Arabidopsis thaliana: one gene and its partners. The protein of the gene in region 3 purifies or fractionates together with the protein of the main gene of each other region. This does not show direct contact. Each region holds a gene or a part of one and is shown on either strand. Other genes may lie near its edges.

Region 1 (4,591 bases), on a different chromosome or scaffold from region 3:
GTTCAGCCAATATGCAACACGAGCCATTTGGATTTTGGTAGGATGGTTTCAATGGAGTTACTAATTAATTTCCGTATAATGGAATTAACTATATAGCGTTTCTCGACTCAATAGTGACCTCCGAATTTTTATAAAACAATAATAATAATTAAAGGCAAATTTTGATTGGTACTGTTTGAATTAAATTGTTAAAAATGTATTTTGAAGAAAAAGAGGTCATCACGACGAGCTTCCAAAAGTGGAAAAGTCTAGTGCCGTCACGTTCAGAGACTATATAATACAAGCAAACAAGAAGTTACACTTATTTCTTTTTCCTTTTCTGCAGTTTTCTTCACGAACTGGAAAATCTCGTAGCCGTTTAGATATTTTCCTTGCATCCTTTTCACGAGAGTTTTAAAAAACTTGAACAACACCGGCTAAAAAAGGTTTCTCTTTTGTTTGGAACGACTCTATTAGAAAAACGTTTGATTGTTCTAAAAGGTTGGTTAAAATTAAAACTCTTGACATAATAAGTCTTCTATTTTGTTTTATTTTAATATACGTGGTGACAAGACGACGCATATAGAAGAAGAAAATCCAAAGAATCATTATCACTGTGCTATTAAAAAAATTTCATCGATTAAAAGTTAATAGAGACATGTCGACAAGAAATAAAAGTTAATGTAGACATAAGTGAGCTATAGACCGACAGGAAAATAAAAGAAAAACAGTTAATACATTTTTTTTATTTATTTATCAAACAGTTAATACATTATTAAAGTTAATTCAGTCATCGTGAAAAATGCTTTGAGTGATAATCAAAACGAGATTTAGCTTAATACAAACCAACTACTATAGAAGAAAGAAACAGAACCCTTTATTAAACATAAAAATAAAGATACCATTCGTGCTACATCAGGAAAAGTATTCGACAATAATTGAATGGAGACACTGCCCATTATGTTTGATATGCATATGTTCTCGAGATGTTGTGAAGTTCTAAAAAATCGAATAGAGATATGCAGATGTTTTTTAAAAGATTTATATTCCAATAATGGGCTTTAGCTGCCCTCTTTCCTTTGCAATAATGGGCTTTTACTCTAATTTGTAGTAGTTTTTTTTTCTATACCACTAACTTGTAGATTATTTCAAGTAAGAGACATAAACAAATACAGTATAACCACGTTTGTAAATTTTGGTTAAATTCTGCTTAGCAAAATGCCCCCCAAATAAAATTAAATACTATAAACACCAAGTTTACAAGCCAAAACCAACTACACTACTACAGTATTTTTAATTTTAAAGAATCCACAACATACACCATTAATATCATAATCTCAAACCCAACTTTAATGACTTTTGATTGCCACTTAAAACATCTCTACAATACCTCATTTTACATGCTCCAATTCCCCATTACCAACTATAATCTTACTCCATCTCTTATTCACCACTTACATTTTTCCAAATCACATTCTCACCAAAAAAAAACTGATTTCATTATAAAAACTCTCAACATTTTTTTCCAAATATAATCAAAATAGTTTTCAAAAGTAGTCTTGACTTTCAACATTACTTTTTTTTTTTTTTAACATCTTCATTTTATTGATATTGTACTTTCAACATTCCTTTTCCTCCAAGGCTTTCAAACAAGATAATTTGTCTTCTTTTTTTTTTAATTTATTTAAAATCTTTTTTTAATGATGTATAATTGGAGCCTCCTTTAAATTAGGGCCCAAACGGTGGCTTCTTTTAGATTATAACCCAGGGCCGGCGCAACCCTTCTTCTTAACAAAAACCTTTTGATTCCAATTGTTCTTCTCTCTTCTTCTTCTTCTTCTTCTTCTTCTTCTTCGCCGCTTCTTCTCTCTCGAATTCACCCCATCTCAAGTAAGCTTCTCCTATTTCCTTGTTATACCAAACAAACACCATCTTCAAGTCAATTGATTTTGTTACCCTAATTGTTCCCGTCCCCGTCTTGTAATATAATCGAAAAATCGAAACTTTCTGTTTTAGAGACATGGATTTTGTGAACCCTAATTGTTAACGAATCGTTGATATCTGTGACGTATATAAACCCTAATTTCGTTTTCATGTTTCTTTATCTACGCAGGTGTACGTTAGCCTCCTCCCTCTAATGGCGACTCGTAAGTTTTCTGCAGAGCTTACTTATGATATTGTTGTGTTTACTCTTCTGTGTATTTGACCTTAATGGGATTTGTGGGTAATACGCAGGTCTTCAGTTTGAGAACAACTGCGAAGTTGGTGTCTTTTCCAAACTCACTAATGCCTATTGCTTAGTCGCTATAGGAGGCTCTGAGAACTTTTACAGGTACCTTTTTTTTTTTTCTCTGTAAAGTTTTCAGTATTGTTTTTGCTTCTTCTATTTCACTTTTTTGATGTTTTTGGTTTGATGATTTGTGTAGTGCTTTTGAGTCGGAGTTAGCAGATGTTATCCCTATTGTTAAGACCTCTATTGGAGGAACACGAATTATTGGGCGTCTTTGTGCTGGTTAGCTTTCTCAACTAGCTGTTATATTTTCTTGCTTCAAATCATCGTGATTATTTCATTACTTTAGCGTAGTGAATGTGGTTTTGTGTTTCTTCGTATAGGAAACAAGAATGGGCTTCTTGTACCTCATACAACAACTGACCAAGGTAATTTTATACTTCTTTCCTCAGATCGTTTCTCATAACAATTAAGAATTGATTGTTTAATACCAGCATGATCCAGTTGTCTGAGATAGAGATTGTAGAGTTTTTGGTGAATATCTTTTATGTAACTTGCCTGAAGCATCTACTCTGCGCCTCTGCCCATACCTGTTTCATTTCAGTTTATGAGTGGACTTTTTATAACTGAATAAGCTTTTGGTGAAGATGATTTTCCTCCTTAACTTGTTGATGATTTTGTAATGTTGCAATATTTATTGAGTCTCTTGTTCTTTTATATTAGAAATCTATATAGGTTTTAGGTCTGTAATTGGTTGCATCTCCTGAGTCCTGCTTATTTTTTTATGTTTACTCGTCCAGAGCTTCAACACTTAAGGAACAGTCTACCTGATCAAGTTGTGGTCCAGCGAATTGATGAACGTCTGTCTGCTCTTGGAAATTGCATTGCCTGCAATGACTATGTAGCTCTTGCCCACACCGATCTTGATAAGGTAAAGATTCATGTCATACTTTATTTTTCTAATGAAACCTTTTCAAAAACATATACTCTTTTCATGACTGGCAAGAAATGGTGAAAGAATAAGTGCGCATTTTTACAAAAGTTAGCAGAAATGTAATTAAGCCTTTGTAATCACCATGAATCTTATATCTTCTGATGATGATGATAACGATAACAGAGTTGTACGTATGGCGTTTGGTTTGATGCCTCTGGTTCTTGTGTTTTTATTTTGCTTTGATAGGAAACCGAGGAAATAATAGCGGATGTACTTGGCGTTGAAGTTTTCCGTCAGACAATTGCAGGCAACATTCTCGTGGGCAGTTACTGTGCCCTATCCAACAAAGGTGGAATGGTAAGAGAATGAAAAACATAACTTCCCTTCGGAAATGGATGGCATTGGCATTGGTCTCTCATTAGAATTTGAATGTCTTTTCTCAAATAGGTCCATCCTCACACCTCAGTGGAAGACTTGGAAGAACTCTCAACACTTCTTCAAGTCCCTCTCGTTGCAGGAACCGTGAACCGTGGTAGTGAAGTTATCGCTGCGGGTATGACCGTTAATGATTGGACCTCTTTCTGCGGTTCAGACACAACTGCGACTGAGCTCTCTGTCATAGACAGCATCTTCAAGCTAAGGGAAGCCCAACCCAGCTCTATCGTCGATGAGATGAGGAAGTCATTGATCGATACCTATGTTTAAATTTTGTTTGTTTGGATGACACACACATCCCAACATCGCCAATGTGTCAATGTCAGAAAATTTTCATACTCTACTGTTTGCAAGAATTAGCTGTTTTATTTTATTTTTGTGTGGTTTTTAACAGTTTAAAGGAAATCTGTTGATGTCTCTTTGAATCTTTCTGAGTAAGTGATAAGAAAATTCTCCTTAATACTACACACATTTTCAATTTTCAATTTGGGGTCCACATTAGGTTCAAATTTTAGTGGAGAAGAAACCATTGGTGAATGGATAACGGTTTTGTTCGGTACAAATCCGAATTCTGCAATTATATGTGTGTAGATAAAGTTAACACCTTTTTCGTTTAGATAGTTTGAAGATTAAACTGAAAGTTAGGACCTTTCATTTCCAATCTCTAAACCCATTTCTCTACGATTAGAGAAGCTGACATCAAAATTGAAACTTGGGAAATTTTTGGATTTGTTCTTCTTCTATGGCAACTGGTAAATTTTCTGTTTCTCTATAACTGATTTATGACTTTTTCTGACTTTGTGTGTTCATTCTTTTACGTTTTCTGTTTGTTTGCCGGGAAACAAAATGAAGAAGACGATGGTGAATTGTCAGCTCGTTACCAGAACACGTTGGATGCATTGTCGTCTTTGATCACAAAACGTGGCCGTTTAGCTAGTAACAACCAATCTCACCGATTCCGTTTGCTCTTTCATTATCTCAAGGTTACAAATCACTTAAGCTTTTTTGTGTGT
Region 2 (6,950 bases), 2.9 Mb from region 3:
TGATATCTACAACATCAATCCTTTTTTCAACAATTAAACTACTCAAAATCTCAACATATGGATAAATTTCCCAAAACATTTCATTGCTGCATCACGAGACTGAACCAGAACAAGAACAAAACACAGCGTGAGTCATGAATCGCTATCGAATTAGCCAAAAGCTAGATCGTTCACAAGTGAAACAAACACGAATCATACAGAAAACTGAAGAAGATCATAAATCTGTCAAACAAATTCCAGAACTCGTATACGGACGGAGTAATCATCGGGGAAAAAACGCAAAGATCTGGGAAAGAAACATACCATCACCATCCTTATCGAAGAGGCTAAAGGCTTCCTTGAACTCTGAGATCTGGTCATCGGTGAGCTGATCCGCCATTTTCCTTCTTACCTTTTTTTAGAAATCCCAGATTTTTTTTTTGCTACTGAATATATTATTTGCCTCTCTAATAATAATTCAGCAAGAGAGCTTATAAAAGAGAGAGAGCCCAACAACTTATGGTTGGGCCTCTAAAGATTTACTAGCTAATTCAGTAATTCTTATGATTTTTTTGTCTTTTTAGTTTAGTTTTTTAAGACAATTATAAAGAAAACTATAACCTTTGCAGTTAATTTAGACATATATACTAGGTAATAAATCTATCAAATTAACAATTATTAATTTTTTTTGACTATTTTCAAAACTGATTTAGTAGAATATTTTACAGTATATCAATTAAACTTTTGACATTATTTTTTTCATTTAAATATTTAATTATAAAAAGTTTTTAAACTAGGATAGATATTTAAGGATATTAATTAATTTGGAAAATTAAAAAAAAACTTATAATATGTTGAAAAAAATAATATATGGATACATATGAAATGATTAGAGTATCCTCTAAATTTACGTTACAGAAACGGATATGTATAAGCAAAAATTTTACATGAATACACTTTTTTGTAGAAATAGTTAAACTTGAATCGATTTTACATGTTTTGTTTTAATTTAAATGGATACTTAATAAAAAAGTTAGTCAATATCTCTACATTTTTTCCAAGTAAACTGTTTTTAAATTTTTTTAGTTTTTATATTAAAAACAAAAAGAGTGTTCGATCATTTATATGAGTCTTATTATTCCACACCTCTAGAATATATATGTACTCGCTACAAATGAGTCTAATGAGCTTTTGCCGTTGATGATTTGTTCAATGTTCTAATAATTGTCATCAGTCTATAACCATTGACACTACACAAAACGGTTGCAATGTATGACTTTTGTTGAACTTTGTAGTGACTAGTAAGTAAGTGAGAGTGAAGAAGCAACGGTTTTTCTTTCTTACAAAAAACTCATATATACTTCAGAGTTAAGACTTAAAAATATATAATAGTGGATAAAATCAGTTACAACTATTTTTTTTTTTAAATGGTCTGTAACAAAAACATAAGAATTCATCGATTACTTAGAAACAACTCAAATGAGAAAGAAAAAAAAACACCTATTGATTAGGTCCATATCTAGTCAAAATCTGAATACTCAAATATTTTGTCATTACATTAATTAACCCAAAATAATTGACCAAAAAAGGCAAAAAACATAATTTTATTTCTTAAGAAAATTGAGGAGCTTAACAAAGGAAAGAAACGTATAATTGTCCCATACGAAAAAAAAAAATTAAAAAACAAGTGTCCATTAAAGTGAGAGAGTCCCTACACGAAATTAAATAAGTTTTTGTCTGTTAGCTACAAATTTCTCTACAATCATCGTATCTCTTTCGTCGCATCTCTATCTCTTGTTGCTCCTTGTATTAGCCCATCATTTTTTTATTTCTCCTGCGAATTCTCCGCCATAGATTTTCTTTTGAATTTCTCCTGCTAACTCTTGAGCTCCCCAAAGGCGGCTACATCGGTTTTGTCACCTCTACTCGCTCACTTTTCTCCGTCCAATTTTGCAGGTTTGTTGGTCGATTCTCCATGTTTTTGCTTCGAATTCGATGAGTAATTCGGTAACTTAGAGAGTTGCTTACGCTTTTGGTTTATGTGTAAAGTGTGCATAATCTCTATATTATATGATGGTGATGATGATTAGTTCTGTAGCTAACTCGAGAATCTCGCTTCAATTGTGTATCAGTACAAATATTGGTTTAGTGGAGAATTTTGGATTTGTAGATGCTTGCTTGAACAATATATGATTTATCTAAGTCATGATTCTAGAGATTTAGGCTGTTTTTGGAGTAATTAAAAAGGATGATCGGAATTTCCGGAGAAAATCTCCGCTGCTAGATTTGTCATTGCCTTGTGGATTTTCAGCTGTTTTTACGCTTTGTCTTTATTGAATTCTGTGGCATATTACTGTTCTTTTCTTGACGGTTTCTTTCACTTTTTTTGCATTTAGTTTCCGTGAATTGAGCAAAGAAACACTATCTTGCCTGTTGTTGTGTTGGATTCTTTTCATGGAATCATTCTTATATGCGAGATTACATTTTCCAAAAACAGCTTTTGAAGATCAAGAGGTGAACATTCGGAGTGATGAATCGGCCAAAGGTTCAGCGTCGTGTTGGAAAGTATGAGGTTGGAAAGACGCTTGGACAAGGCACTTTTGCGAAAGTTCGGTGTGCTGTTAATACTGAGACAGGAGAACGCGTGGCTCTCAAAATACTTGATAAGGAGAAGGTTCTTAAGCATAAGATGGCTGAACAGGTAACTCTCTTTCCTAATAAGATAATATACTAGATGCATCTTCAGTCCAAAAGTATGATGTGTGTCTTTCCTGATTGTTTTTACAGATAAGGAGAGAAATTTGTACTATGAAGCTGATAAACCATCCAAATGTAGTGCGGCTGTATGAGGTATATCTCCATTTTTCTATTTGTGTCTCTATTTTTCTTTGGCTTGCTTTAGAGCTCTTTGTATGTGAAGCCAATGTGCTGAAGCTAACTTTTAAGGAAATGATTGATACCGTTCCAGGTTTTGGCGAGCAAGACTAAGATATATATTGTTCTAGAGTTCGGCACTGGTGGAGAGCTTTTTGACAAAATTGTGAGTTTTCCTTAATCCCTCCCAATGGATTTATAATTGTTACTTGATCCATCTATTGTTGTTTGAACATGTATGCTAAGCTCTGGTCAATCTTGATAGATGTTCCTGTTTCTTGCAATTGAAACGTTCTCTTATCTCTGATGTAGATTTAACCTTTGTAGATTTAACCTTTGCATTATGTGTAAACTTGTGAAGGTACATGATGGGCGCTTGAAAGAAGAGAATGCACGGAAATATTTTCAGCAGCTTATTAATGCAGTTGATTACTGCCATAGCAGGGGAGTGTACCACCGGGACTTAAAGGTATGATATTTTTTGGTTTATGCCCAAGTTTGCAGTATGTTTCTTTAATGTGCAGATAATTGATACTTACAATTTCACTGCAGCCGGAAAACTTGCTTCTAGATGCTCAAGGAAATCTGAAAGTCTCTGATTTTGGATTGAGTGCGTTGTCCCGACAAGTCAGGGTAATCACTGAGTCTTATTTTTCTTTCTTAGCATCCTTTTGTTTACCTGAATTCTCACTGATTTGTCCTTGTCCTATTCTAATGAAGAAACCTGTAGTTCAACGACGATGTGTCTCATTGACTGTTTATACATATATTTAATAAGCTCTGAATACTGACCATTCTAGATTCTCAGCTTATCAAACTTATTTGGTCTTGGCAGGGTGATGGTCTTCTTCACACTGCATGCGGAACTCCAAACTATGCTGCTCCTGAGGTATGCTTAGGCATGTGTCTTGTATGTCATGCGGTTGTTGCACCATGTTATGTTACTAATAGCTTCGTTGTTGCTCTTGTCACAAGGTTCTTAATGATCAAGGTTATGACGGGGCAACCGCAGACTTGTGGTCCTGTGGAGTGATACTCTTTGTACTACTTGCTGGCTACTTGCCTTTCGAGGATTCTAATCTCATGACGCTGTATAAAAAGGTAAGAAGTTTTGTCATTTTTTCAAAGCTTCTTCTTTCACCATTATCGGTGATTACTGTTTCTATGTTAACACTTTCGTCATTTCTCAGATAATAGCTGGTGAATATCATTGTCCTCCTTGGCTCTCTCCTGGTGCTAAGAACTTGATTGTCCGAATCTTGGATCCAAACCCTATGACTGTAAGATATTTCAGTTTATTAATGCTTTCAAGATTTAAATCTATTCTTCTTTTGTTTTCTTCAGTCGAACCCCAACAATCTTGTCTTGTTTTTATTCTTAGACACTTAGGTAGGTTAGGGCTTACCAGGGTAACATATATGGGAAGATTTGATTGTCTAAGCCCTAACGGCCTAACCCACCAAAGTGGCATTCTATTGTTTGTCTTGTTCTATTTTTAGCATTAGGTTTAATATCAAATATACTTCTTCATATTTAGGCATCATTTACTATTTTGTAAATTGAGTCACAACGTGTAAGCAGAATTATTGACTTGTTTAAAGTAACTGTACGTTTCTGTGTCATATAAATTAATAATTTCCATTCTAGCTGACATTTTCTTTTAGGGATATCTACCTGCAATGAGCTTCTGCTGGTAGATTTTATCATAATCTTTCTAAATTGCTCAAAAGTTTATGATTCTCCTGTATTTTTTAGTTATATACATAGCGGATTATGATAGATATTCAGTTATGATTTGGTGAAGATTGTTTGATTAGTATCTTAATCATGATATATAACTAAGGGCTTATTTATGTGTTTTCTTATTCTGGGTTTTGGGGGGGTTTCCTATTTCTTAAGCTCTTGAATTCTTTGTGTAATCACTTTTATCTACTTTTTATATCAAAGTCTTTCTATATTTCCTCTTCGACTCTTTATTACTTTTTTTTGTGTCTTGCATGTTAAACTTAAACTCATTCAAAACATCTGCGACTAAAGCCGCTCGTCCTTGATTTCAACGGTGGAACTAATTGACTGTGTGTTAACGTGCCAGCGTATCACAATTCCAGAGGTTCTGGGAGATGCGTGGTTCAAGAAAAATTACAAGCCAGCTGTTTTCGAGGAGAAGGAAGAAGCCAACTTGGATGATGTGGACGCTGTTTTCAAAGATTCAGAAGTGAGTCTTATTTATTTTGTCTGCGATCTATAAGATAAATGAACTGTTTTTCCTTTTTTCAAGTTACTTGAATAAATGTACATAACAGTCTGTAATTTATTAACAGGAGCATCATGTCACAGAAAAGAAAGAGGAGCAACCAACTTCAATGAATGCCTTTGAGTTGATATCAATGTCGAGAGCTCTGGATCTCGGGAATTTGTTTGAAGAAGAAGAGGTATGTCTCTTAGACTTAACATACTTATTTGCTTGAATCCTTGAGCAAACACTTGTTTTTCCACATTATATTTTCAGTAATGAAGTCTATACCGTTTAACTTGCAGGGATTCAAGCGAGAAACGAGATTTGCTGCTAAAGGTGCTGCTAATGATTTAGTCCAAAAGATTGAAGAAGCTTCTAAGCCGCTTGGTTTCGATATTCAAAAGAAAAACTATAAGGTAATGCGATCGTGTGAAACCTTAACAGCTATTGGCATCGTCTTTTCCTTTTTCTTAGATGGCTTCCTGTTAGAGTTAAGAATCACAAACACATGATAAAAAGACTCACTCCCTTGGTATAAATCGATAAACTCGAACCTCACCAACAAGTTCACTTATAGACGGATTACCTATTAGGGTAGAAATGAAGGTCCTAATTAACATATTATCACCCTCATTGCTCACTTCGTTACGGTGTGGAAGTTTCCTTTTACTGAAGCGCTACTTATGTACACAGATGAGACTTGAAAACGTGACTGCTGGAAGGAAAGGAAACCTAAGAGTTGCAACTGAGGTACATTATGCACTCCTGACTCTTTTTCTGTTATGAAGTTAGTATCTGAATCCAAATTGTCATGGAACTAAAGAAGTGACCGTATCTTATAATGTTTTGTAGATATTTCAAGTATCACCGTCTCTTCATATGATCGAAGTCCGGAAAACGAAAGGGGATACACTAGAATTCCATAAGGTAATCATTTTTCAAGTTTTCGACTAATATGTTCACTTGAGGACCGATTCTTATATCTCTGTTCATCTACTTTCTTTACAGTTCTACAAGAAGCTCTCAACCTCACTTAACGATGTGGTTTGGAAATCTGGCGAGAGCTCTGGTCTAAGCAAATAAGAAAAAAGACTGATGATTCAAGTCCTTGCTTTGACTATCTTTTATTTAGCTTTTTGCTGATACTTTCTTTCAAGACTCAATTCTTTTAAATATTAGAGACAAAAAGCCATGAGATTGATGACTCTGTAGATATCGAAGCATGTGCAGTAAGTTTATGCTGTTCATATAATTGCAAACTTCGATTGTGTTGTGTCACAAACATTTTGTCTAACTGGGTTTACTTACTACTATTAATGCTCAAAGATGCTGTAAGAACGTTGAAGTAAGCTGAAAACGACATCGTTTCTAAATCTAACACCAAAAGATAAAAAATCGCCGTTGCCGGGGATCGAACCCGGGTCACCCGCGTGACAGGCGGGAATACTTACCACTATACTACAACGACCTTGTTGATAAAGAATCATAACTAATACTATATAGCTGTGTCTTATTATAGTGGACCTGCATTATTTATTTATCCGCTTAGATTTCTATGGTTGATACAATTTTGGTATCCGTTATCAATTAAAATTCGAAATATTTGTGTGTTTGGTGTGTAAACCTTGGAGCTATGGCTTCCTTATCGACGATAACTCAACCATCTTTAGTCCACATTCCCGGTGAATCAGTCCTCCATCACGTACCAAGCACGTGCTCTTTCCCATGGAAGCCAACTATCAACACGAAGCGGATTATCTGTTCGCCGGCTAGGAACTCCAGCGAAGTATCGGCGGAGGCAGAAACCGAAGGTGGATCTAGCACCGCCGTTGATGAAGCACCGAAAGAGTCTCCATCTTTA
Region 3 (4,780 bases):
AATCCCTATTGCCATGAACATGAAATAAACACTTTCCCATCAACAAGGCAAACTCTAAAAACGGACACACAGTTACACATCCTAATTTGTAGCTAAAAGAAGCAAAAGCACAAGACAATTCAAAGCTACCTCATTCAACCAGAAGTGTTCATTGTTGATATTAGTGATCAAATTCCCAGTCCAGCTATGTGCGAGCTCGTGAGCTACAACTTGAGCTCCAGTGGCGTCTCCTTTGATAACAGTAGGCGTCAGGAAAACCATTCTTGGATTCTCCATACCTCCATAAGGAAAACTCGGAGGCAGCACCAGTAAGTCAAATCTCTCCCACTCGTAATCTCCAAACAGCTTCTCCCCTTGCTTGATCATATCCTCCGTTCCTGCAAACTCCAGAGCAGCCGCATCTAGAACTTCAATGGCGGCAGATTCTGTGTATACCCGAGTCCTAGGTCCAACTTCCCGAAACCCTAACTCACCAACGGCAAAAGCAAATAGATAAGGCGGTATAGGCTGTTCCATAGCAAACTCTTCCACAACTCTATCCTCACCACACCACAGTGACGACCCCAGCGACCCAGCCTCGAGATGTTTAGCCTCCTCAGGAACCGCAAGCCTACGACGGACGTGGCGAGCCGACATGACGGCAGAGAGCGAATTCGGTATGTTCATAACGACGTCGTAACGGATCCTCGCGGCAGGAGTGTCCTGGCATGGGAAAATGGATCTGGCGTGAATCGCTTGACACTGCGTGTAGACATAAGGATGCAATTTGGAGAAAGTTTGAAGCGGCGAAAGCCACTGGAGAGCGGAAGCAGAAGGCGAAGTGGAGTAGACAATTAGCAGTGAAGATTGACCGGAGAGGACTACGACAACTTCGGTGCCCCGAATTCGATCCGGTGTGGTGGAGACGGAGTAAGGGATAGGCTCGAGAGTGAGAGGATCGAGGACCATAGCAATGGAAATGCAGCGAGTATCAAGAGAGAGTTCGCCGGAGAAGGCGGAGGAGAGAGTGAGGAGAGCGGAGCCATGGATTATGGAGGTGTTGAAATCGAGGTAGAGGGAGAGAGCGACATGCGTGGTGAGAGGATGAGAGGAATCGGTGAAAGAGTGTGGATCAATGGGTGCCATTGCTGAGTGAGAGAAGCTTGCTTAGGGTTTTGAGGAAAGGGGCAGTTAGAGAGGTGGAGAAGAGAGTATAAAGCGGGAGAAAAAGAAAAAATGAAGAATTGTTGTTCGATGGTACCATTTTATGATGATAAATAATGTATTTTTGGAATAATTTGGTTAATGGAGAATCATTTAGTGCATAAAGTTGAAACCGTTAGATATTAAACGGCGACTAAATACAATGTTAAACCCAAGTTGGATGAACCAAAAGCACACCAAGCCACCAACAATCCTGAGATTTTTAACAACCATCTTTTTGGGCTTGAGCCTCTATTGAGCTTCAAGTTTTAGGTCCATGAGTTATACACTCACACGAGTAATCTACTTAGCAACAAACAACGAGTTTACATTTTGGTATTGGTGTCAGATTTATCGTCTCATTATTTGGTGAACTCTATTACAAGATCAAACAATCTATTTGTTTTTGCATTTGGCTCAAAAGCTACTTGGTAAAAACTTCGCCAAAAAAAAAAACTCTCAGTAAAAATTACAATTATTTTTTCCTGATGGTTTAAGTTGTTGATGACAACAAATATAAAATCTGATGGTTGACGATTACTACTATTAGGAGAGTCAATAAACGGGTTCGAGCACAAGTGCTGACGGCACCCACCCGTCAAAACCGACGAAACCAGAGAGCCCTCGAGACTCAACCCCAAATAAAATTGGAAAAAAATGAAAATAAAAATAAAAATGATGATATAAAACCCTGAAGAAGAACCTTTTTCACATTTTTCTTACAATTTTTATTCTTGCTTGCTCGTGTCTGATTTTTCCCAGCCAATTTTGATCTACCTTTCAAAAATTCCACCTTTTTCTTTCTTCTCCATGGATCTGTTCTTCTCTCCTTGATCTGGATCGACTTTACTGAGTTTCCTTCCCCCCCCCCCCCCCCCAGATATGTTCTGAGGAACTCTCTCTACTGAATTGATTGGTCTTTCACTCCCTTCTTACTCTTTGATCTCGCGACCTAAATTAATTTAGGGCTTTCTCTTTTCGGAGCTCTCATGGTTGGGAGAGTCAAGGTCCCTTGTTGTTCCGTGTGCCACACGCGGTATAATGAAGATGAGAGAGTTCCTTTATTGCTTCAATGCGGCCATGGCTTCTGCAAAGATTGTCTTTCCAAGATGTTCTCTACTTCTTCCGACACAACCCTCACTTGTCCCCGGTGTCGCCACGTGTCTGTTGTTGGGAACTCTGTTCAGGGTCTCAGGAAGAACTACGCTATGCTTGCTCTCATTCACGCCGCATCCGGCGGCGCTAACTTCGATTGCGATTACACGGATGATGAGGATGACGACGATGAAGAAGATGGTAGTGATGAAGATGGAGCTCGTGCCGCTCGTGGATTTCATGCCTCAAGCTCGATTAATAGCTTGTGTGGTCCAGTGATCGAGGTCGGAGCTCACCCGGAGATGAAGCTGGTGAGGCAGATTGGGGAAGAGAGTAGTAGTGGTGGTTTTGGAGGTGTGGAGATGTGGGATGCAACTGTTGCAGGCGGTGGTGGACGGTGTAAGCACCGTGTGGCGGTGAAAAAGATGACTTTGACGGAGGACATGGATGTTGAGTGGATGCAGGGACAGCTTGAGAGCTTGCGGAGAGCATCCATGTGGTGTAGGAATGTTTGTACTTTCCATGGGGTTGTGAAGATGGATGGATCTCTTTGTCTTTTGATGGACAGGTGCTTTGGGTCTGTTCAGTCTGAGATGCAACGCAATGAAGGCAGACTTACTTTGGAGCAGATTCTAAGGTTCCTCTTTTGCTTCTCTTATTCTTTTTTTTTGCCTAGTATCTGGCTTTTACTGTGATCGTTTCTGTGCTTAAAGTCTCAAACTTTGATAGCCTGTTCCCTAATTAGAAATTACTGGACTAGACCCGACTTGGTTTTTTGTGATTGCTATTAGAAATATATATTGTAAGTGCACAGTTTTTCAGATTCTAGTGAAACAAGCAACTAAAACCTGGTGTCATTTGCCAAAAGGGCAACTTGTAAGATAACTTTAGTTTAGATGTTCTTAAAAAGCTAGGCACGAATTATAGTAGTTGTCATCTCTCTTTGTCATTACCAGCTGCAGCTACTTTTCATCTGTCAATGCCTCAATAGACAAACATTTTTTGGACTAGTCCTTTCCTTTTTAGTAGTGGATCCTTGAACCTACGTTTGCAAGATATCTTTGAGAAAGCCCTTTACATTAGTATGCTTCCTTCTAAAGTATATGACCAGAAATCATTTTTCAACGAACTGACATATCAAATCATGCAAAAAATTGTACGAATTGTTATACATTAATTTATCAAAGGACGCATCATCTAAAGATGATCCTTATTTTGTTGTCCTGGTTCTAATATTACCTTCAATTCACTTGTTTGTATTTCCTCCTATTTTCTGTTTTTAACTGAATTGCGTCATTTGGGACTATTAAATGTAAGCACTAATGCGTAAATGAGTGTTTTGTATTCTCCTTTCATATCGTGCTCATGTTGTTTTAAGTTTACAACTTAGAATATTCCTTCAGTGACCAACATATGTATTATTCCATTGCTCTTGTTGTGATATTAAATTTTACCAACTGTAGATATGGGGCTGATGTTGCTCGAGGGGTTGCAGAACTCCATGCAGCAGGTGTTATCTGTATGAATATAAAACCTTCCAATCTTCTTTTGGATGCAAGCGGCAATGCTGTGGTTTCTGATTATGGGCTCGCTCCCATCCTAAAGAAGCCAACATGCCAGAAAACTCGACCAGAGTTTGATTCCTCAAAAGTCACTCTATACACGGACTGTGTAACACTCAGTCCACACTACACTGCCCCAGAGGCTTGGGGACCGGTGAAAAAACTTTTTTGGGAGGATGCAAGTGGTGTATCTCCAGAATCAGATGCATGGAGTTTTGGCTGTACGTTAGTAGAGATGTGCACTGGATCCACTCCGTATGTGAAGCCTCTTCCTAGTTGATATTTCAGTTGTGTTTTGTGTCTGCCATTGTACTAACTGTCACTTAATTTTACAGGTGGGATGGTCTTAGTAGAGAAGAAATTTTTCAAGCTGTTGTGAAAGCCCGAAAAGTACCACCACAGTATGAACGCATAGTGGGTGTGGGAATTCCTCGGGAATTATGGAAAATGATTGGTGAATGTCTTCAGTTTAAACCGTCGAAAAGACCAACCTTTAATGCAATGCTTGCTACATTTCTTCGTCATCTACAAGAGATACCACGTAGCCCTTCAGCAAGCCCTGATAAGTAAGAGTTTTAAGTCCCTAAGATTACTTAGTTTTATGGTTTCCCTGTTTTCGTTGCTTGTCAGTAAAGAAGACCCTTTCACTTGTGTTAAGATTAATATTAGCACCAACACCTAAGATTATTTTTGTCATCATGCCTATATTCCTTCGCCTAACAATAATATAAACCATGTATGATGTAGTGGGATTGCCAAAATATGTGAAGTAAACATTGTACAAGCACCTCGCGCGACTAACATAGGGGTCTTTCAGGATAACCCTAACAACCTACATCGGGTTGTTTTGGAGGGAGACTTTGAGGGTGTAAGGTTAGTATCTGTTAGGAATTCTAGTTAATCCTTTTGTTCGCACTAGCTATAAACAACCTGTTCTCAAC

What was found. Proteins that work in one complex are often made in the same cells at the same time.
Region 1: the proteins of KEG (region 3) and eIF6A purify together in Arabidopsis thaliana (affinity purification with mass spectrometry, with the first as the bait; one study listed by BioGRID). This does not show direct contact.
Region 2: the proteins of KEG (region 3) and CIPK26 purify together in Arabidopsis thaliana (affinity purification with mass spectrometry, with the first as the bait; one study listed by BioGRID). This does not show direct contact.

The regions. Positions count from the first base shown.
Region 1 is NC_003074.8:20,632,465-20,637,055, forward strand, and holds eIF6A (Translation initiation factor IF6), read left to right. Parts: upstream 1-1,592; 5' UTR 1,593-1,869; intron 1,870-2,092; 5' UTR 2,093-2,116; coding exon 2,117-2,126; intron 2,127-2,214; coding exon 2,215-2,311; intron 2,312-2,405; coding exon 2,406-2,491; intron 2,492-2,592; coding exon 2,593-2,637; intron 2,638-3,009; coding exon 3,010-3,140; intron 3,141-3,389; coding exon 3,390-3,500; intron 3,501-3,590; coding exon 3,591-3,848; 3' UTR 3,849-4,091; downstream 4,092-4,591. Other genes in the region: DFD (DHFS-FPGS homolog D), read left to right, coding at 4,321-4,330, 4,431-4,561. UniProt on the Arabidopsis thaliana protein: Binds to the 60S ribosomal subunit and prevents its association with the 40S ribosomal subunit to form the 80S initiation complex in the cytoplasm. May also be involved in ribosome biogenesis.
Region 2 is NC_003076.8:7,215,572-7,222,521, forward strand, and holds CIPK26 (Ca2+regulated serine-threonine protein kinase family protein), read left to right. Parts: upstream 1-1,672; 5' UTR 1,673-1,935; intron 1,936-2,476; 5' UTR 2,477-2,509; coding exon 2,510-2,680; intron 2,681-2,766; coding exon 2,767-2,829; intron 2,830-2,947; coding exon 2,948-3,019; intron 3,020-3,214; coding exon 3,215-3,322; intron 3,323-3,405; coding exon 3,406-3,486; intron 3,487-3,688; coding exon 3,689-3,742; intron 3,743-3,828; coding exon 3,829-3,954; intron 3,955-4,043; coding exon 4,044-4,133; intron 4,134-4,945; coding exon 4,946-5,068; intron 5,069-5,174; coding exon 5,175-5,285; intron 5,286-5,391; coding exon 5,392-5,505; intron 5,506-5,782; coding exon 5,783-5,839; intron 5,840-5,941; coding exon 5,942-6,016; intron 6,017-6,097; coding exon 6,098-6,172; 3' UTR 6,173-6,450; downstream 6,451-6,950. Other genes in the region: CAM6 (calmodulin 6), read right to left, coding at 304-379; NdhU (Chaperone DnaJ-domain superfamily protein), read left to right, coding at 6,723-6,950. UniProt on the Arabidopsis thaliana protein: CIPK serine-threonine protein kinases interact with CBL proteins. Binding of a CBL protein to the regulatory NAF domain of CIPK protein lead to the activation of the kinase in a calcium-dependent manner.
Region 3 is NC_003076.8:4,343,447-4,348,226, forward strand, and holds the start of KEG (protein kinases;ubiquitin-protein ligase), read left to right. Parts: upstream 1-1,755; 5' UTR 1,756-2,171; coding exon 2,172-2,914; intron 2,915-3,740; coding exon 3,741-4,094; intron 4,095-4,174; coding exon 4,175-4,405; intron 4,406-4,586; coding exon 4,587-4,712; intron 4,713-4,780. Other genes in the region: AT5G13520 (peptidase M1 family protein), read right to left, coding at 1-5, 130-1,125. UniProt on the Arabidopsis thaliana protein: Mediates E2-dependent protein ubiquitination. Acts as a negative regulator of abscisic acid signaling. Required for ABI5 degradation, by mediating its ubiquitination.